Oryzias latipes: one gene and its partners. The protein of the gene in region 2 binds, or shares a complex with, the protein of the main gene of each other region. Links are inferred from orthologs where the notes say so. Each region holds a gene or a part of one and is shown on either strand. Other genes may lie near its edges.

Region 1 (3,944 bases), on a different chromosome or scaffold from region 2:
CAGATTTACTCTCTAAAGGCAAAATAATGGATCACAGATCCACAGTGTTTTCTTCTGACACAAGGGGAGTGAATTCTGACTTCCTTTAAGTTCAAAACTAGGAATAACCACAAAGCAGGAACAGATCAGAGAGAAACTGATTAGATCAGAACAGAGAAGAGCCAGAGGTGGCAGAGCTTGTAGCTGCGAGGGGGAAAAAAGGAGGCAGAAGGGAGCGGCGTGGGGCAGCAAGCAGACGGAGCGGCGTGGGGCAGCAAGCAGACGGAGCAGGAGCAGACCAAAAAGAGAAACAAATGATTCTGTCTCCATGTTTTTACTCTGATTGGTTTGTGTGTCTTCCTTTTGTAGACGGTGGGGGATCTTTCTGTTAATCCCTCCAAAAACTCTGAACTCAGAAGTAAATGGGTTAACCATAACAACTATCTAATATCTATAATCAGTTAAATTCAGAAGTGTTATTATCAATCTGGATTATCAATGACTCAATGACAAGCATGTCAGCATTTTGATGAGTTGGGGCAGCTTTAGAGGAGATCTGTGTGCCTGAAGCCCTAGAAGTGTCGACTTTACTGAATTCTAATAAACAATCATCCATCTATGAAATAGTAGACAATGTTAATGATTATTCTTTAAAATGTCTGAAAGTTGTTGAGAGATTTAAACTGCATTTAGGATTTATAGAATAAATGTAACTGTGATCTTAATTGCTATTAAATACCATTATATTCTGTGATATATAAAACATCCATTTCTGCACAAGGATATAAATTGGATGTTTCGGCTTGAAAAACAATAAACAAGCTTACTACCAATTAATTAAAAATGTCACAAAATATGTAACATTTGTTCGCAATATGTTTTAAGCTAATTTAAAGCACTAACAGTAAATGTTGTCGTTTTTCCATAAATTGTAGAAATAATATATTTTATAACCTGCGAAATGTTAGAATTCTAGTTGAAATTAGATTACTTCTCGGTGGTGGACGCGAAACTATTCAACCTGGTCAGGTTTCGTTCAACAAGAGGGCAAAATTGCATAAAAGCCAAAGGACAAACTAATATGTTTAGGTTTTATTCGACAAAAAAAGATAATCTCACCAAGGTTCACGCGCAAACTCCTCCATCTTTCGTGTCGTCTTTTAAGCGCAGTGACGTCATAATCAGGCGCCGGCTCATCGTTCGTTGTGGTGGTCTGTTGATTTTAACGATTGAAATAGTCGTTTTTAAGAACAGGTACAGACTTTCCCCCCTCTTTGTTATTTATATAAACGCTTACTTGGTTAATTGAGTTTCTTATTATAGTTAGGAACTTCAAAATGACGGGATTTTGATTTATTTTAACCGCAGCTGTGAGTTGAGTTCAGAAAAACGGGCCTGGATCATGTTTTCGTGCAGATTATTTTAGCTCTTGAAATATTGTTTCTTTGCTAATTATCGATATTTTAAAACTGACTGAGCTACACTAACCTCAATATTTAAAAGACAAAAAAAACTTAACGTTTGAGAGTTTTAATCAATCGCTCCATAGTAGAACCAGAACCATCGAAATAACTTTCAGAAAAGTCCTGTTTCATTTTTTGAGCTGCTTTGAAATTGAGACAGTTTTGTGTGTGTGTGTGTGCGCGCGCGTGCGTGCGTGTTTAAATTTCGCACCTTATCATAAAATTTTCCTCCAGAGAATTTGTTTAGAAACAGTGAAGAATGGATTTGTTTGCTTCAAATACCTTATCTATACAGGTGCTCTGAATGTACACATCTGTACATCTGGATTTGGTCATAGAACATGTTTAATTTCAGAATTTGGGGTAATGGGTGTCTCTTATGTTGTTGCTTTTATGGGTTAGTTTGAAACGAAACAGTTCTGCCAAATTAAAGCCAAATCAGTTATTTAATTAATTGATTTTTCTATAAAAGTAATATTTTGTATTTGTCAGGTTAAATAAAACATTTTCTTTGCTTTTAAAGCCAGAAGTTGAATTTTATTGATTTAAAGTTCAAGTTTTGCTTTATTTAAATCACTAGTTAGGCAAAAATGTTTGTGAACGAACATAATTAGTTTTGGAATGGAACCTTTATTTTTTTTTAAAAAGAATTTATATTTAATCAAAATTTCTGCAATCCTAACTCCTGTACACAATCGGTGAATTCGTATGTAATCAACTGAAGAATTTGTCAGCATTTGCATCATCATTTAATCCTAACTCCTCTGTGCTTGCAGATGCCTCTACCTCCAGCCCTGCTGGCCCGTTTGGCCAAGAGAGGAATAGTTAAACCTTCAGATCAAGGTAGTATTCTACATCCTCACAGAGCTTACTTTCTGCTTTTTTTCTGAGCTTAAAACGACTTTTTCTCCTCAACAAAACAGAGATAGAGGAGGAGATCATCGCTGAAGATTATGATGACAACAATGTTGACTATGAAGCCACTCGGTTAGAAAATCTTCCCCCAAATTGGTACAAAGTGTTTGACTCGACGTGGTACGTAGAAACGAAGTCGATCAGCTGCGCTGCTGTGTTTGAGTATGATCACTGCGTGTCATTGATCTACCATTGAAATGAAAAGCAATTGCAGCTAAAGTTATTTGTTTTCTTCATTTCCCAGCGGTCTTCCTTATTACTGGAACATTGAGTCCGATCTGGTTTCCTGGCTTTCCCCAAATGATCCGTCAGCGGTTATAATGAAAGCTGCCAAAAAAGCAAAAGGTAAGAATTTGGTAAAGTAGATGACTTTGCTCTGCTTTCATTAAAAATTGTTTTACAGAGTTCATAAAATGTCCAAAATATTGGATTTTTACTTTTTGACAAGGGTATGAGGAAACAAAAAAAGAACATGAAGAGCATGAATGTGTAATAAACTCTCATATAGCTAAAGTTTATCCATCTTTATATTCAAACTTTGTTTGTCATGCTACTCAGATAATGATTGTTTTCTAAAACCTCAAAGATGTGGATTTCCTTTTGATTTTTATATTATTTTTATATTATATATATTATATTTACCGTAAATTCCGGGTTATAAAGCGCACCCGATCACAAGCCGCACCCACCTATTTTAACGTGCTTAAATATTTTTGTACATACACAAGCTGCATCAGTATACAAGCCGCTGCCTCAACAAAGCGCATCCTGACTACCAGAGTGTGCATGGCTCATTACCACACTGTGGGCAGGTACTGGCCTTGTCTCAAGCTCATGTATCTAATTACACCCACATCTGAAACGGCATGGACCTCTATTCTGTTCACAAGTTCCTCAGTTATGGGTTTTTTTATTTTTTTTAACTTATTGACAAACTAGGTATCATACATAAAATTACAAACAGTAACCATATAATCAACATTACATCCCTCAGTTATGATGAGGAAATTTATATCCGCGATCCCCCATTTCCCATGAGTCTTAGGGGCTAAAGGCGGGGCCAACGCCCGGCTCGCCACACTGTTGTTCGTGTTTAAGAATGAGCAAGGAGCAGCAGTGCATGGAGGGGTGAAAAGGAACAGCTCTCCTTCCACTTGTGTCGCGGCAGCGTTATGGTACTAACGGGGCTGGTTAAAAAACATCAGTAAAATAGCGCGCGCCTCAGCGCGGCGCGTTCGTCAGAAGCTTCCTCTCACAACAAACACTTGTTGCTCCGCGGACGCCTCTGCGCTCCGCGCTCGCCAAGCAGGCTCCTTGTCTCCCCTTCCTATCCGAAAAGCTCACACGGCGGCTGTGAGCTTTTCAATGCAAAATTCCGCTCAGTCAGAAACCGTAAAAACGACCAAATGGATTTGTGTTTCCAGTCGTGTCCCGACAAAATAAAGGCTGATGTTATTCACACATATTTACGTGCAGCCAGCCGAGTCACTATGACTCAGAGGTAAATACACTTCTGAGCATGCGCTGTTCTCTCCGTCACGCAGCTGACCGGCATTTCCATTTACTGATGGGGGATTTTTTCACGCT
Region 2 (4,017 bases):
AATGGTGAAAGGGGGTTTGAGCGCTATGTGACTGCTGAGAGACTTGACCAGACGGCTGATTTTGTGCAATATGAAAAACAGCCAAAACAAATTTAAAACAGTCTTTATCAGCTTTAAAGAGTGAATGCAGTGTTTGACGATAGTCCGGAAGCTGACTATCACTGTTGTTTGTAAAACAATCATGTGTCCTACATAAGATCGTGTAACATAGTTGGATTTTATGAATCATGTGTCCATTTAAAACCACAGAGATGTGACTGTGTAGCTTAAAGGGGAAATTAAAATGATGTATCTAATGATAATTGAACTCTCTTTAGGAGTGCCATAATGTGCTGCTATGTTAAAGACTGGAAAGTTTTCCTATAACCTTTGAACTGTGTTCGTTCTTTCTGTTTGTACTGTAATGAATTGCACAATAAATTTTTTATCTGTGTTTTTTCCTGCTTAAAACCGTTTCCTGTATCTCTGCCTACTTTCAAACGGAAGTAACACTCGTTTCAAGGAGCAACAAGAGAATAAAACATTGAAAATACAAAGGTAAATCATTATTGGGGGTTTTGATTTTACAAGTTATTTTTTTGCGTCAAAATCGTTTTTACTTACTGAATCTTAATGAACTATACTGTGCAGCTACTTGTCTTTTGAAAATTGTGCAAGCAGTAGTCCATAAACATTTGTTTTTCACTTGTGGTGCATGTACACATGCATCCCTAACAGGAAGCTATTATTTCTACCCATAAAAGGTTAGAGGAACAAGGGCATCCAAAAATTGATCATATGGGATGATTTTTCTTTTGGGGTTTTAATTACATTAAACGTGAAAATGCTTTGTCTATCAATTCTTCCTTGAAAATGTGGCAACGTAGAATAAATCTTATTCATCCTACAAAGAGGGGAAAAATGATCTACATAAAGAAATATATAAGGGGTGATGTTGTGTTAAGAAGTATACATTTTTCTACTTTCCTTTATCTTTCCGAATGTAGTGTTTCATTTTCTTGTTAAATTTGACATTTTAACCTAAATCTTTCTTTTAATAACTGGTTTCGCATAGCCTGCTTTCGATTTAAAGCCTTCCATGTAGTTTTTATTAAATTGTTCACTTTTGTCAACATCAGTTAAAGTAATACTAGATTTGTCATAAAATAGGACAAAAAGGAACAAAAAATAATACGTTTTCTCTGAATAGGTTTGTGGGATGTTGACGTAGACATTTTGCGACGACGTCGCGAGTTTGTGACGTTGTTAGGAACGAGCTCTAGATGCTGAAGATAGATTTTTTTTTCTTTATTGAGAGAACAAAGTAATTTTATCTAAGCAGAAATCTAATTTTATTTCATTATACTTAGTTTTGCTAATTCAAGGTAAGGTTCTTTCGTTCATGTTTGTGGTTCCGCATCTTCTAAAGTTTCGCTGTCATGATTTCTAGATTTTTCTTCAGCTAGCTTAGCATTAGCATTCATCAACCTCCTCTTCTCCGCGGTTATTTAACACTTTAAGATAACATTATCATTCAGAATTTTGGGTCGGGGGCGGTCTCGGATTCTCCATCTTTAGGTCAAGATGTCGTACATGCTACCGCATCTCCATAACGGCTGGCAGGTGGACCAGGCCATTCTGTCTGAGGAAGACCGAGTTCTGGTGATCCGCTTCGGACACGACTGGGACCCAACGTGTATGAAGATGGATGAAGTTCTTTATAGTATCGCTGAAAAGGTTTGATCAGCTTCTTATGTGCACCATAATTTCTATGGAAAAATAAAAGGGCTCGTCTGGTTACAGTATTAAAAGGGAAAATTATTTGCACCTTCCTTTGGTCCCCAAATCCCCCTGCTTTTGACTGTTAACAAGTTTGATAATAAATGCATAACATGAGAAAATATTCAATGGGTAAGGAAAGCTTAGCAGTTAGAGAAAACAGTTTGAATGTCTGCAGTCATCCTTTAAAGATTTCATTTAAGGATTTAACCCTCTTCTCTGGTTAGTTGCTGAAAGAAGGATCATACCTGAAGATTTAACTGAATCACAGGTTACAGTAAGACGACGGCAGTTTGTGACAAACCCCACTGCACCAACATACATAGGGTTTACAGAGAAATGGCGTTTTGGAGAAACATTCATACGAAAAACATCACCACAACAGCCAAAAAGCTCCAGATAAAACAGGAATTTCCTGATTCTTAATTGACGAATCGATTTCTTTTCCTATGAACCTACCAGATCCATCTGTCTGAGGCAAGTAGCTCATCAAATCAGCCTCTACCATTTTAAAATACTTTCAAAAGGAGATAAATCGATAATAGAATTGAAATTGGAAAATACAATTAGGATTGAGACATGGTAGGTTTATTTTACTGTAATGTAATAACGACCAATTGCATCACGGTGGACAACACACATGTGAGGTCAGCAAAAACTGATCAACCATCATAACAGTCCAATGTGTGGAAACAATATGAATTTAGCAAAGACGTGACCAGACAGTGTGGTAGAATGTTGTAATATTGTTCCCTTAGGATTCTTTGGATGTGGAAAAACAACAGTGGACTGAACTTTAGGAAACTAAAATGTGAATGGATTTGACTTTCATTCTGGTTTACTTGTTTGTTTGTACACATATTAATTTAAACTTGATTATCTTGAAGAAATATAAGGAATCTGGAAAACGTCACCTGTACTGTTCAGTATCCAGGTATTCATCTCTGAGTCACACTGGTTGAAGTTTTGGATAAAGATGTTCTGGATCGATCTTAGGCCAGAGAATCAGATCGTTCAAAATAAACAAATATCGATTATGAATCTGATCAGCAGCCACAAATTATGATATGAATTGAATCGTTAAAATGAAGTTTTAGTTTTTAATGTTCCTCTAAATCTTATTGACTGTTTTGGAGATTAATTTCTGTTCCTTAACCTTCATTAAAGTCACAGCTTTGGTTTCAGCAATCAAAGTCCAGATCCTTGTTGTTCTAGTAACCGCCACCTTTGTCTTCTCAGGTGAAGAACTTTGCAGTCATTTACCTGGTAGACATCACAGAAGTGCCCGACTTTAACAAGATGTACGAGTTGTACGATCCTTGCACCGTCATGTTCTTCTTCAGGTGAGGAACCCTCATCACTGGAACACAGGTCCTCATATCATATATGATGTCCAACGCTCCTGCCTTTGGTTTGTTTTCCAGGAACAAACACATCATGATTGACTTGGGAACTGGAAACAACAACAAGATCAACTGGCCCATGGAGGACAAACAGGAGATGATTGACATTGTAGAAACGGTGTATCGAGGAGCCAGAAAAGGACGGGGTCTGGTTGTTTCTCCCAAGGATTATTCTACTAAATACAGATACTGATTCTCACTTTTTTTAAACCATTTTTTACCCTTTTTGTGTATTTTTGTTTTGTTGATGACAAACAGAAGAAACTCTGCTTTTCCAGCAAAGGAGGACGATATTCCAGCTACTGGTCTCATTGTTTTCTCATCAGTTTTATTCAGTTTTGAAGCTTGTTTGAATTTTTGTGAATAAAAGTGTCAACAATCTTACGTTTGATTATTAAAATAAACTTGACTTTCATGTAAATATATTTAGGAAATTTTCTCAAATGTTTGAGTTTGTTTTGAAACTTTACAGCATTAAATCATTTTGCTATGGCAGTTAAAGACGTCACAGGAAGTGCAGTGACTCACAGCGGCTGTTGATACTTACTAGAGATTATGTCTAAATCAAATCAACTTCCAGTTTTGTTTTTTTGGGTGCACTTGCCAGAGTTGTCCGGTAGGTGGCATCATAGCAGTTCCACGTATGCACCAGTCTCCAGCATCACATGCAAATGCTCCTTCCTGCCGTGGCCTGGGGCAGTATTGGGACACGGCCCATCAAACAGACTTATGTGACACTTTTGTGTTGCTATAGAGATCATCTGTGGAACAAAGAACAGGAAATGACCTTAAAAGAACTTTATTTCATGATAGGACTTTTCCCCAAAAAACGGGGATCTTTGTGCTGTCAAACTAA
Region 3 (4,220 bases), on a different chromosome or scaffold from region 2:
TGGTGATTCTTCTGTGATATTTTTGATTCTTGTGAAATTTCAGTTTTGACCGGAGCATCTCAAACTTCTGCTAACATGAGGCATCATGCTAGAAATAATGTATTTTTTTTTCTCTTTTCTACGCCGCACCCGGTATAATCCCACTCCCCAAAAATAAACACAAATTGTTTCATTTGTCTCTCTTTAGTTCTAATTTTGACCTGAATGCTCCTATATTTCTTATTAGCATGAAGCCATGAAGGTTCAAAGAGCTTAGAAGTATCTTTGAACTTATGGATCACCAAGGATTAAGTAAATAAACAGAAATATGAATTCATTTTTTAGACTTTGTTTCTGTTATAATCAGTGAGACCAACTTTTTCCTCTGACAATGACACCCCTTTGTATTGTTCAGGGAGTCTAGATAGAGTTAGCTCAGACCTTCTTTTTTGTTGAGGTTCATGTCTGTTCTTAAAGTTTCTGGCCAGAAATTAGCGCATGCATTCCCGTCCCCCTGTGCAAAAGACCCAATCCTGCTTTGCCCTGCAATTTGAAAGAAATCTGTAAAACTTTACGCAATAGAGTGTGCAAAATGACAATGTAAAAACTCCATGTTTGGTTTGTTCAACTTTTAATTTTTGTGTCTTTACTCCCAAACAAACAATGCAGACCTTCTGAAGTGAATGTTTGGTTGAGGGGAATTCTGACTCCAAACTCAGTGAGACAGACGATGATCTGCAAATGATGTTTTCAAAGTAAGGCTAAACATAGCAGCTACAATATTCAAGAGAAGTCTCTTCATGCATCTAGAAAAAGTTTTTTTTAAACTTTTGAGTCTCAATTCAGCAGTAATTATCTGGTGAGATCTTAAATTACACTAATATCTCATTTAGATTTCATGAATAAAATTTGCATTTGTTCCACAGGATTAGACAGTTCTCAAAGTTTCTGTCATTAAATGACAAAAAAATATTTCTCAAACTGAATTAAATGCTGATTCTTGTATTTTTACATCAATGCAGCTGAAATATAACTTTCTTTCTATAAAAGTGTTTTTCAGATGTCAGAATAAAATGTGAGAATATGGGAGAACAAAAACTTTCATTGTAGGAAATGTTCTGCTGGACCAGTTCAGTTACCCCCACCACCCCCACCCCCGCAGTCGGTTCCCATAGTTGTTTATTGTTATAAAATGTGGTTTCTCATTTTTTTTGTCTAAATCACAAATAAAGGGTTTCTTTATTTTATCATTCAACCATAAACTAGACCTCTAAACTTTTATTCATTAATACCATTATTATTAGAAAGTAACGCTAGTTGATGAGAAGAAAAGCTTCTCTTTTAGTGTCCTATCTTCCAAACGAAACCGAAAGCACAAAGGCAGATGATTGATTGCAGGAGTTTCCTCGACCTGAACCGACTGGAATTTGATGAAATCCTAAACCCAGCGTCAGTAGTCCATGACGGGGAGGAAATTGAGCAGCAGCAGCAGCAGCCTGGGTGATGCTGGAAAGACGCAGCGCTGCGTCGGCTGTGACTGACCCCGCTGCAGCTCTGACCTCTGCACCTGAGAAAGTGTGCAGTGCAGACAGTACCGAGAGGAAGCAGAAGGATAATGAGAGCAGCTGGAGCGTTAATTCCACGAACCTGCAAGTCACTGTCAGACATAGGTTTGCTCGTCTGAGGATCCTGCTGAAGAGCATAATAAATGGTAAGCGCACTGGTGCGTAATTACGCACGCACAGTGACAAAGTGAGTTGTTTTAGTGCTTTGATGCCAAAGCAGAGATTGAGAATTAAACCTGAGACTCGGACTTGAGTCTCACTTCAGTTTCAAAGGCAGGGATTTAAGACTTGAAAGCCTATTTAAGACTGAAACCTTAACTTCAAGAGCATCAGACTAGACTTTGAGGACTTGAGAACATTCTTAGTTTATTTTTAGTTTTACCTTAAAAAAAAAAAACAGATTGAGGTCTAATATTTTTGTGCTGTATGTGTCACTATTAGGTGGTTTAAAATACTGTAATGACATTAGTGAGAATCACACATTTTTAAAAATAATTTCCAACATTTTGGATTTGACTTGTAACCAAAGACTTAAAACCAGACTATGACTTGGGAAAAGTGGATTTCAGAGCATTTTAATGCCAAAGTCTGTGCACTTTGTCTTTCTGTCATGTGATACAAAGATGCCCAGGAGCCGAGTGATTTTATTCAGTCTTCACTGGGCTGCATTTAAGGTACTTCCACACCTCTTTCTTTTATGCAGTGTCTGACCGGAACTCTACTCCACAGTGTCCTGGTGGTTCTCTTGTTGGCCAACTCATCTGGTAAAAGTAAATGTAACTACAAAGACATACTGGGCTTCTACAGAGAAGTCATCTTCGTTGAGCTGCAGAATCTGGTATGACGACCAAACTGACCGCAAAATAAGAATTTCAATGTTTGTTTATATTCAACAGCCTTTTACCTACAGCTGACACTAAGAAAAGTGTTGGAATATATGGTTAGAGACTGCCCTCCAGTGTTTGTTTTGCAACACACACACAAAGAAAAGCCTCAAAACGAATTTTCCCACACTTTGAATGAGATGAAACTGGATTTCTAAAATAATATTTTTGATGACTAATGTTTTTCAGAATTTGACTGTTTCTCACAACTCATCCAAAGGGAGAGATCCCTGCCCCTCTGCAAAGGTGAGCATCAATGCTATAGGTACATTAGATGTAGTTTGGTGGCTGTAAAACGGAAATCACACACACAACAAATGCAGTAAACGTAGTAACAAAAATGGAAACAAATTACAGAAAACTGTTAAAATAGAACATTTAAAAATATTTTGCTTTAAAAAAAAAAAAACAATATTAAAAGTAAAAACAAAAAAACAAAAAAGGAGATTTCTTTAACCCTGATGTGACATATTTGTTTAGTTTGGCAAGTTTTGTCTACCCAAATACTTGCATTGTTTGTTATCAAGGTCTTTAAATGCTGTCTGTTTTCTCCTTTTTCCTGCCATCTCATGGCAGGCACATCGCATCCTTGTGTCCATATACATTAACACACAGCAGGTCCTCTGTTTGAAGAGCGGCAAGAAGCTGTCTGACCTGAAAAAGCCAATAGAAAACATGGAGCAGCTCATCGTTCAAAACTGCAGTCCTAATTATATGGTGAGAAAAAGTACCGATGCAGATCTTTGAAGTATGCAAAAAAACTTAAAAATCTGAACTAATTTATCTTTTTTTTCTTTTTTTCTTTTACTTCTAGGGAAAGAAAAACCCCTGTTCATCTGCCCAAAAAATACAAGGGAGAAAAGGCAAGAGATTTAGGGTGATCAAAACCATAAAGGCATTGATTAGATGTTGGGAAAAACTCAAAAGTGTCGTACCCTCTGATAAATAGTATGACTTTGGTCCCTAGGACCCGTGCTACTCTATGCACTCAAATTTCCAGATGGTTCTTCCAATCTGGTCAAGATAGACTTTGTAAAAAAAAAAACGGCTTCCTCTTTTATTGGAATGCTCAAGTTGTTTTATTCCTCCTTTTTTTAACAGTTGTCGAGATCTCCGAGTTTTGTGATTAAAAAAACGCCATCCACTGCATGTCAGCATTCCTCTTTGCAATATGAATTGTTTCCTAATAAGCCAAGATAAGCTAAAAAGTATTCACTCACCATTCAGATGTTCTCCAGTAAAATATGCACATTTTCATTCTTTGTAGCATGTTTTTTTTGAATGACATATTGACATTATACATATTTCCTGTCTTTTTTACTGTAATTTCATTTAATAAAATACTGAATATTTATTAATACTTTTATTAGAGAGGAAATTGTTGGTTTTGTTGTTTTTTATAAAAGGAAATCTTAAAGAGTGGAACTGTTCTTAAAAAGAATGTTTCCGACGGAACAAATAAGGTGTTACGCAGCGTCCGCCAGTGTTTACAGCCGAGAGTCCGCGAAGCGAATTCGCCACGAATCTGAACATTATCGTAAAGTAGCTTTTGTTCTTTGCATGTTAGTAAAAAAAAAAGTGCGAAGGGCAGTTCTTAGTCAGAATTATACTCTTTTCATTGTTTGTTTTCGTAACATTTACAGCGACGCAGAAATGCGTTTTTGTTCCTTAACAACACTCCCCTGAAGCAGCTTCTTCACTAGTCTGTGACTGTCTGTGGGACGTTCTGGGTAATCCTTTCCAATATTCAGGACACTTGTATTTTATTTTAGGAGGTTATTTGTGACACAAA
Region 4 (4,275 bases), about 7.6 Mb from region 2:
TGAAACCGAAATTTTTTTTTTCACATGTTAGTCTTTATCTAAGTAGAATCAGATTATTTGGTGCATTTAAATGAAGGCAAACACATGATAAAACGTTGATTTAAGCTTTATGGCAGACTAATAAAATGTGTTATTTAAAACGGATTGAAAACAACTAAATCACTGATTTCTTTTTTCTTTCAAAATGTCAGAAAGTTTTTACCTTAAACACTGAGTTTTTATAAAATGTCAAACTTTTTTCTTGCCATCTACAGTAGAGCCACGTAGCAGCTGAGATTTCAGACTTCCTGTTAATCTTACAAAACAAAACCAAGGACACTCTGCTGGTTGTTGTTTTTTTTAGAACAATCCAAATACCTTGATGTCATTGTCGATGCCTCCAGACAGGATTTGGTCGCTGGTGTCATTAAACGTCACGGCCAAAACTTGGTAGGTGTTCTGGAAGGTGTGAATTGCCGCCTTTTTACGGATGTCCCACAACTGCAGTGACGATTAACAAAAATACAATAAAGCAACATTTAAAAACTTTGAATGGGACCTCAACAGTTGAAGCATTCAGAATAAATAACTGCACCTAAAATAAAAATGTCACACCTTTATCGTCCCATCATCGCTGCCGGTGCAGACCAGTTGTGGCCCCCGGCGAGCTGGGTAGCAGGTGTTAACAAAGGAAGTGTGACCTTTCAGGCGCTTAATCCTCTCCCCTGTTTCACTGTCCCAAATGCCCACGGTCTTGTCTGTGCTTGCCGAAAATAACAAGCTGGAGGCACAAAAATGATCCAGTCAAATTTTATGGAAAGGTTATTTAAGAAATGTAGATAGTTCCAAGTCCTAAAATTTACAGATGAACATTTTTTTTGTTCCATAAAGTTCCTTAGTTTTTGAAATCAAACTAAGACTAAGAAACAATGAGAATATGAGCTTTACTTTCACTGTAAACATAACCTAAAACAAGAAAAATGTCAATTTAAAGGTGAAGTTTAAAGATAAAATCTACAGCTTTCTTCCTACCTGCCATCTGTGTTGTAATGCAGCTCCATCACAGCTCCACTGTGGCCCTTCAGGGTGGCGTAATTTTCACACTCCCCAAAAACGTTCCACAGAACTGAGGTAAAGGAAGTAAGTGAGGAACAAAGCAACAGAAGAAGGCCGGGAGAACGGCAGCTTGCCTCTTTTTGCTTACATATGAGTCGGTCGAAGCCAGAAGACGCCAGCGTGGCTCCATTTGGATGAAATTTGCAGCAGTACACCTCGCCCTCGTGGCCCGACATCAGCATGATGGGAGCTTGCAGGCTGGAGGTCCGAGGAGGACCCTGGAGGAGAAAGGTCAGTTTAATTTACTTTCTGTTTTTTTCTTCCAGATTTAGTCCAAGTGAAATCTAAAAAGAAAACAGGCATGTGATAAAAGACAGATAAATAAAAGTGCGTTTGGGCTTAATGTGCCACAGAACGCTTCAGAGTAAAGTCCACAAAGTTTAATGCAAATCTGCAGCAGACCAGTGAGGAAATGGATCATTTGTAAAGGATCAAATTGATCATGTGACACAAAGGATCTTGCCACCCTATGGTGGCACACTTTCCATGCAGGGGCTTGTGGTGCAGAGGCAGAGCGGTCCACCTGATCACAAATATCGCAGGTTAGGTTCCACAAATGGGTGGGCAAGGCGGGAACCTAACCTGCGATATTTGTGATCAGGTGGACCGCTCTGCCTCTGCACCCTATGGTGGCACACTTTCCATGCAGGGGCTTGTGGTGCAGAGGCAGAGCGGTCCACCTGATCATGAATATCGCAGGTTAGGTTCCCGCCTTGCCCACCCATGTGTGGAAATGTCCTTGGGCAGGACACTGAACCCCACATTGCTTCTGGTGGTTATAGTTTGGCGCCAGTAAGAGAGCGAAACCGCCATCAGTGTGTGAATGTGTGTGTGCATGGGTGACTGTGAATGTGACTGTTGCAGGTGATATGTCATGCAGATTTTTGCAACATCAAAAGATGATTGCTAAAATGAAACCCCAGTGTTTAAAAGCTATTTATTTTTTACAATAGAAAAAAAAGATTTAGTATCTATCCTGTTAAATATCCTATAGTTTTGTCTCAATAATCAAAATATCTACTTACAGAAAAACATCTACAAACTGGAAAAGGTTTAAATACACAAAACTCATGCTTAATAAAAAAAATAACATTTTTTAATTTTCTATCATAACATTAGCCTAGGATTTGTAACCTGTTCACGGTTCACCCCGGAAACACCCATAACTGGGAAAGGTTCCTTTACCATCAGTTTGTTGATAACAACGGGATTTCGAATATAATACGTATTTTAAAGAAGCAACATTACATCCAAAAATTAAATATCCTAGCGAAAACTCGTGTTGTTATTCGTTGTCATGTGTTCTCTACGTCAAGAAATAATAGGTGCACCACAAAAAATGTCGTGTTTGAGTAAATTTTAGATTACATCATTTAAAGCATGCATAATACAAATGCGGGTCAACACCCGTGTGTATATATTTTCTCTAATTTGAGTTTTTTTGTGTGAACGTTGATTCTTTTCGTACCGTAGCCACGAGTTGCTGGGACTGTGCCGCCGCCACCAGCTCGTTCCGGGCTCGCTTCACAGCGGTGGGAATTACCGCCATGTCTCCCGCTCTTTTCTTTGGTTCAATCATCCCGAAATAATTGCAAATAATCGACAAAAATAAGTTTGTTTGTGACTACGGTTTACCGAATGACTATTTGCGCCTTCATGGGAAACGAGAAAAGCGTAGCACCAACGAAGAAATCAGGATGAAGTGTTTCCGGTGAGTATGAGCTGTGTGATTGGTTTAAACATCCATCTCCTGCTGTGATTGGCTGATGAAGACGTTGTCAGCGACAATGCACCGGAAGTACAACAATCTGAGTTCAGCTAACCACACGAAAGGTAATATTTTCATCCTTTTTTCAAGACTTAAGATACTTTTTGCGTGATTTTCCTTATCGTTCTACCACGACAAACGCCTATACTGTTCATGTCTGAGCTTTTGTCTTTGAACTGACGGTACAAACCGTAAGAGGACGAAATTATAAGCTAACCAAATTCATTGCTGACTTGTCTTGTTGTCAACTTAGATTTTTTGTTCGCTCGATTATTAAAAAACAACAACTTTGAGCTAATTTTTACATAAATAAAATTAGTAATTATATTTCTTTGGTACCGGGAAGTTAATGCTTTATTGCGACAGGTTGGCTTCATCGTAGTTTAAAATGACACGAATGACAATTTTCATTTTCAACCACATATTTGTACAAATAAATATCCCAAAAGGCACAAGGTCATTCTTTATTTGCAAGAAGTGAACAGCACAGCAGAGGTTAAAAATTTACCGAACTCTTTCTGTCAACCACATTACCTTTGAAATTAATTCATTTTCTTTTATGACTTTCGTTTGGTGAATTGGATGAAAGAAGATTGCTGTTTCATTTCCTCTCCCAAATTATGTAGAAATCTAAGAGAGGCAGTAAGTTGTCTTAAAGGGAAGAGTTTGGTCGGAAACCACGAAGATAAAGGGATTGCAAGTTTTCACCTCAAGGTCTCTGCTCTCTGAATTGTCTGGGCATAAACACTGATGGCAAATCTATCCATTTTGTAAACCCGTTTTGTCCCTTTCGGGGTCATGGGGCTGTCAGAGCCTTACCCGGCCACTCGCATGTTTTTGGATGGTGGGAGGAAGCCGGATCTCCTGGAGAAAACCCACGCATGCACAGATTTAGAGTAAAGCGCTAACCACTTTGTCACAGTGCAGCCCTGACCGCAGATCTGTACAAGGCAATGTATGCCACCTTAGTGCTGACTGATTGAGGAAACATCCAGGGGTTTTCTCTGAAAACTCACTTTACTGTTATCATCTCTAGTTACATAAAAAACCTGGTCTCCAGTTTGTATACCAGCTTCAGCTTGTACCAGACAATGCAACTACTTGGTTTTGGGAAACAGTACTGGTATAAAGTTGGCACATACCGATTCTAAACAGGTACTTATGACTGTGGCAGAGCACCTCCTCACTTGTGGGTACCAAAATCTCAAAACTAGAGTAGTTTGAGCAAAAAAAATCTAGGATGAGCATAAGAGATTTGACATTTGTGTGGCGAGCTCAGCTCAAATTAAGGGAGTGATAAACAGGCTGTAAGATTTTGAATAGGAGAAAACTCACTAAAATAGAATTTTTACTTTCTCTGCTCCACTTGAGTGTACACTTTTTTTTAAAGAAATTCACTTGACAATCTGCCA
Region 5 (4,048 bases), on a different chromosome or scaffold from region 2:
GTCAGAGTCGTTTTCATGTAGCTTCACCAACCAAACTGTATGTTTGTTTTCTTTAAAGGAACAAGGATGTTGTAAAGTATTTTTGTACAAATTTAATACTTTGGTAGCATGAGGTTCCTGGTGTTTGTCCCAGTCCCGTCAGCCTTCATTCACCCCCCACCTCCCACCCCACCTTCTGTTTTTTTAATACTGAGCAACAATAAAGTGAGACGGGAGGCTGTGACTCCACATGTGGTCTAACATTAGCACATGCATTCAAACGTGTCTGTTTGGGTTTCCTGTCATGTATATAATGTTTCACATTAAACTGAACTAAAGTTTTACATTTGTAAAAATCTCTGAGTCAAAATCTTCTTCAGGAAATCTTAATTTCTCTCTTGATCATCCGAGGTCGTCCAGGACGCAGAACAGATGATCAGGTGAGGTTCTTCAACCGGCCTGGTCTGAATGTTAAAATGGAGATACGTCTCCATTTATATCCCATCATCCCTTTGTTTACGCTCTCTCCCACTAGCTTACAGCCCCTCACAACCCCAACTTAACTTTACTAGTGTAACCGTACAGCAAGCAGTATCAGAGCTTGCCATCCATCCAGGTCTGATCCAGATTCCAGTTCAGACCAGGAGAACGACGACGTTCATGGATCTGGTGGATGATCAGAAAGGGGCGGAGCAGGAAGGCTGTGGCCCCGCCCATCTTTGTTGCTGCGTAACAACTGGGAGTTTTTTTCAAATGGCATTTTTTTTGCTACTGATTTACGATTTTAATAAAGAAGTACTTAGAAACGCAGTTTTATCTTAAATAATTTTATATATGCTCTCCATTACGAGAAAAATGCTACAAGAACATGTTAAAAACATCACATCAGAGTGGGTCTTTAAGGAGAAACTGAAAACTAGGCTAGAATTAGTTTTGGATCCTAAACCGTTAAGAGAAACGTGAAACCGGATAATGACCACATCTAATGATTGGTTCTGATGATGCTGGAATGTGTGAAGTATTTGTTACAAAAATAAATTTTAAGAAAAACAGCCTGAAAAGTTCAGATTGGAGCTGTCATTTCATTTAATTGTATGATTATTTGTTTAATTAAGTTCTTTAAACAAACACTTTTTAAAGCAGATTTTAATAATGTGTGAATGTGTGAGGATGGAAATTAAAAGTAAAGAACAGCTCAAAAACAATTTCTCCAAACTCCGTCCCAGGTGGTGACACTAATGCGCCAGCAGGGTGTTTGCTAACCGCCAAAAGAAAACACAGAAGAAGAAGGAGGACATGCGCATGCGCGCTTTGACGCCTCAGCTCTATGAATCTGTGTGAGATTAGCTGAGCCTGGCTGTTGTTAGCTGCCGCCGTTAGCCTGTGCGGTGTTTTTGCGGGTTCTCTTAGCCTGTTTCAAACGCAAGTCTTCCCGCCAGCTGGATAAATAAAAAAGGAGCTCCGGACAAACATGTCCACCGCGCTGGAGAGCTACATCAACCGTATCCTTCCGCTGCTGCTAGCGGCTAACAGGCTAACCGCCGTTTAAATGAATGGAGGGCTAACTGCTAGCTTAGCGCGCTAACGAAAACTCGTGTTTTGTTAAATATAAAGAGTGTAATTTAAATGTCTATTTAGTAGGCTTAACTAAATTCATCTTTAGATTTCAAACACTGTTTATTTTGTGCTTTTGTTCGGGTATCGTGCAAAAATAAGAATTTGTAGCCTTTTGGGTTATTTTCAGCAGAAAGTTTAAACCAGATTATTTTTCTTATCGTTTCCTGATTATTATTCATCGATCATTGGAGAACCGGGTTTGTCAGTAGAAGTAAAGAATAAATAATTAGGAGAAATGCTCTTTTATATTTCCTTAGATTATTCCTAGAGATTAAAGAGATTTGCATGAATCTCTTTAGTTCTGGAGGAGGATCTCCTCACAGGAACCAAAACATTCTGAGAACTTCATGATGAATATCAGGAATTCTACTTCTAAACCGCTTTTATTTTCCCAGAGTTCATCTTTTTGAAAACATGCTGCTGGTTTCCCCGCGTGTCTTCAGTGAAACTGAATCTTATCTTACAGATTCGTGCTAATTTCTCCTACATCCCATAATTAAATTCGTATTTAAATCAGCTGCAGAGAAGTTTGTTTTGCTGAAAAGCAAACCACAAAAAAACAGTAAAAAGTAACATCACACTGACTCAGTTTAATCAACTCCAATAAAAATTGTGTTTCTGATTTCAATTAGGCAGCAGTGGATGCAGTTTATTCTCAGCAACAGAAAAGCAGCTGTGAAGGTTTTTGTTCTTTGAGGCTGAATCTGTACAGCATGTTGTCTTTTCCACCAACCAGAAGTCGGGGCGGGGCTTCGGTCACCTGGGCTCAGTTTTTTCTTAAACTTTTTCTCTGCTGGTATCTGGAGTCCAGGGGACTTTGGATCCGACACTTCGCTCTGAACTCAGAGGAAAAGCTGCTGTAGAGATTTTTGAGCTTCCTAGAAGCTGTGAGGTGATGATGTGTTCTGGATGAGTTTCTTTGACCGATGCTGGCTCAGGTACGGTGGCCATCGTCACTTCAGACGGCAGGATGATCGTGGTGAGTTCAAATGCTCCTCCTGTCCTCGGCTGGATCCGCTCTTTTCGGTTGGAGCCCAGCCTCATTTTCTCATTTCTGATTCTCTTCAGGGAACTCTGAAAGGCTTCGATCAGACCATCAACCTCATCCTGGATGAGAGTCACGAGCGCGTCTTCAGCTCCAGTCAGGGCGTGGAGCAGGTGGTGCTGGGACTCTACATCGTCAGAGGAGACAACGTGTGAGTCTGAGACCGCCGGTCCTCCCATCAGAACACAGAGAAACAGGAAACAGTTGAAGACAGTTGAAAGGACATTTGATCTGAAAACAGCAGGTAAAAGCAGCTCAGCAGCAGAGTAGAGCGTCTACCTTCAGCCCGTGGGTTCGAGTCCACAGGTCGACAGAATCCTCCCCCTCCAGGGGCAAAGAGCCGCTCTGATGAAAATGCTCTTCTTCTTGTAGAGGTTTTCTGATGATGGAGGTCATAGATTCAGATCATTGAGATCAATTTCTGAGTTTTTCTTTAATCAAATTGTTGTGAATCAGGAGCAGACGAAAAAAATGCTGATGGGAAAAAATTACATTTATAGCGTAGAAAATACTCTGGGCGGGGCCACAGTCTCCCTGCCCCGCCCCTTTCTGATCATCCACCTGCAGACCAACAGATCCATGAACGTCTGTTCTCCTGGTCTGAGCTGGAATCTGGATCAGAACTGGACGGGTGGACCTGATGTTGCTGCTGTTTTTGTTGTTCCATTAATGTTAAGATGGGGGGGTGAGGGGCTGTAAGCTAGCAGGAGAGAGTGTAAACACATGGATGATGGGAAATGAAGATGGGCTCACTCTGCACTGCGAACCATCTGAAAATAGATCAGAAGCTGGTGGGAGTGGGACTTTAGCCCCCCAGCGGGCTCTAAAGGTCATTCTGACGGCGTGGCGATTCTTTTTTTCCTCATCAGAGCGGTGATCGGTGAGATCGACGAAGAGACCGACTCCACGCTGGACTTGGGGAACATCCGAGCCGAGCCGCTCAACTCTGTGGTTCACTGAGCTCACCGTCTCCACGGCAACAGTGGACTCAGGGGGAGGGGTCTGCTGCAGCGGGAGCCGTGGAGATGAAGATCTGAGGGTGATCAGAGTCTTCCTCCTCCAACAGACTGTTCTGATGTTTCCACGTTTGTATTTTTATAAAGGAGGTTTGAGTCACGGTCTTCATCTCCAACAGAGAAAAGTTGAATAACGTTGGATTTGATTCTTTTCATTTTGCTTTAAGGTGAAACCAAGACTCAAAAAAAGACTTGAGTTTGTTTTAAAGCACAAAGTTCTGCTTTTCTTCAGCTCCATGTTCTCGTCTTTCAGGGAAGAACAAATAAATGTGTGAAAATGTTTTCCTTTTAGAGCTTCTGTTCTGAAAACTTTATTAGCTATTTTTTTTAAACAGACGTTTATTTTATTTAGATATTTGCTTTGCTTTATTTGTGATCATGGAAACTTGAA

The links. Proteins that work in one complex are often made in the same cells at the same time.
Region 1: the proteins of txnl4a (region 2) and pqbp1 are in contact, whole or in part, in a crystal structure (PDB 4BWQ), measured with the Homo sapiens proteins. The link is inferred for Oryzias latipes from reciprocal best matches to the Homo sapiens genes TXNL4A and PQBP1. Residues at the interface, in NP_006692.1 of Homo sapiens: Gly11, Trp12, Val14, Asp15, Ile18, Asp68, Phe69, Met72, Tyr73, Glu74, Met82, Phe84, Asn87, His89, Met91, Gly97, Asn98, Asn99, Asn100, Lys101, Leu129; in NP_001027553.1 of Homo sapiens: Gln241, Gln242, Arg243, Pro244, Tyr245, Pro246, Ser247, Pro248, Gly249, Val251, Leu252, Ala254, Asn255.
Region 3: txnl4a (region 2) and aar2 share a complex: the UniProt entries of both Homo sapiens proteins name them as parts of the U5 snRNP complex. The link is inferred for Oryzias latipes from reciprocal best matches to the Homo sapiens genes TXNL4A and AAR2.
Region 4: txnl4a (region 2) and snrnp40 share a complex: the UniProt entries of both Homo sapiens proteins name them as parts of the U4/U6-U5 tri-snRNP complex. The link is inferred for Oryzias latipes from reciprocal best matches to the Homo sapiens genes TXNL4A and SNRNP40.
Region 5: txnl4a (region 2) and lsm8 share a complex: the UniProt entries of both Homo sapiens proteins name them as parts of the precatalytic spliceosome. The link is inferred for Oryzias latipes from reciprocal best matches to the Homo sapiens genes TXNL4A and LSM8.

The regions. Positions count from the first base shown.
Region 1 is NC_019865.2:21,319,562-21,323,505, reverse strand, and holds the start of pqbp1 (polyglutamine-binding protein 1), read left to right. Parts: upstream 1-1,144; 5' UTR 1,145-1,233; intron 1,234-2,218; coding exon 2,219-2,285; intron 2,286-2,365; coding exon 2,366-2,477; intron 2,478-2,601; coding exon 2,602-2,702; intron 2,703-3,944. Other genes in the region: timm17b (mitochondrial import inner membrane translocase subunit Tim17-B), read right to left, coding at 1,099-1,124. UniProt on the Homo sapiens protein: Intrinsically disordered protein that acts as a scaffold, and which is involved in different processes, such as pre-mRNA splicing, transcription regulation, innate immunity and neuron development.
Region 2 is NC_019869.2:14,391,663-14,395,679, forward strand, and holds txnl4a (thioredoxin-like protein 4A), read left to right. Parts: upstream 1-1,217; 5' UTR 1,218-1,364; intron 1,365-1,557; 5' UTR 1,558-1,563; coding exon 1,564-1,716; intron 1,717-2,997; coding exon 2,998-3,101; intron 3,102-3,182; coding exon 3,183-3,354; 3' UTR 3,355-3,545; downstream 3,546-4,017. UniProt on the Homo sapiens protein: Plays a role in pre-mRNA splicing as component of the U5 snRNP and U4/U6-U5 tri-snRNP complexes that are involved in spliceosome assembly, and as component of the precatalytic spliceosome (spliceosome B complex).
Region 3 is NC_019865.2:15,451,661-15,455,880, reverse strand, and holds the start of aar2 (protein AAR2 homolog), read left to right. Parts: upstream 1-1,420; 5' UTR 1,421-1,690; intron 1,691-2,247; 5' UTR 2,248-2,382; intron 2,383-2,617; 5' UTR 2,618-2,674; intron 2,675-3,004; 5' UTR 3,005-3,145; intron 3,146-3,242; 5' UTR 3,243-4,220. UniProt on the Homo sapiens protein: Component of the U5 snRNP complex that is required for spliceosome assembly and for pre-mRNA splicing.
Region 4 is NC_019869.2:21,982,921-21,987,195, forward strand, and holds the start of snrnp40 (U5 small nuclear ribonucleoprotein 40 kDa protein), read right to left. Parts: upstream 2,801-4,275; 5' UTR 2,675-2,800; coding exon 2,564-2,674; intron 1,314-2,563; coding exon 1,184-1,313; intron 1,106-1,183; coding exon 1,012-1,105; intron 761-1,011; coding exon 595-760; intron 481-594; coding exon 358-480; intron 1-357. UniProt on the Homo sapiens protein: Required for pre-mRNA splicing as component of the activated spliceosome. Component of the U5 small nuclear ribonucleoprotein (snRNP) complex and the U4/U6-U5 tri-snRNP complex, building blocks of the spliceosome.
Region 5 is NC_019881.2:23,243,759-23,247,806, reverse strand, and holds lsm8 (LSM8 homolog, U6 small nuclear RNA associated), read left to right. Parts: upstream 1-1,248; 5' UTR 1,249-1,450; coding exon 1,451-1,481; intron 1,482-2,534; coding exon 2,535-2,575; intron 2,576-2,664; coding exon 2,665-2,792; intron 2,793-3,510; coding exon 3,511-3,601; 3' UTR 3,602-3,948; downstream 3,949-4,048. UniProt on the Homo sapiens protein: Plays a role in pre-mRNA splicing as component of the U4/U6-U5 tri-snRNP complex that is involved in spliceosome assembly, and as component of the precatalytic spliceosome (spliceosome B complex).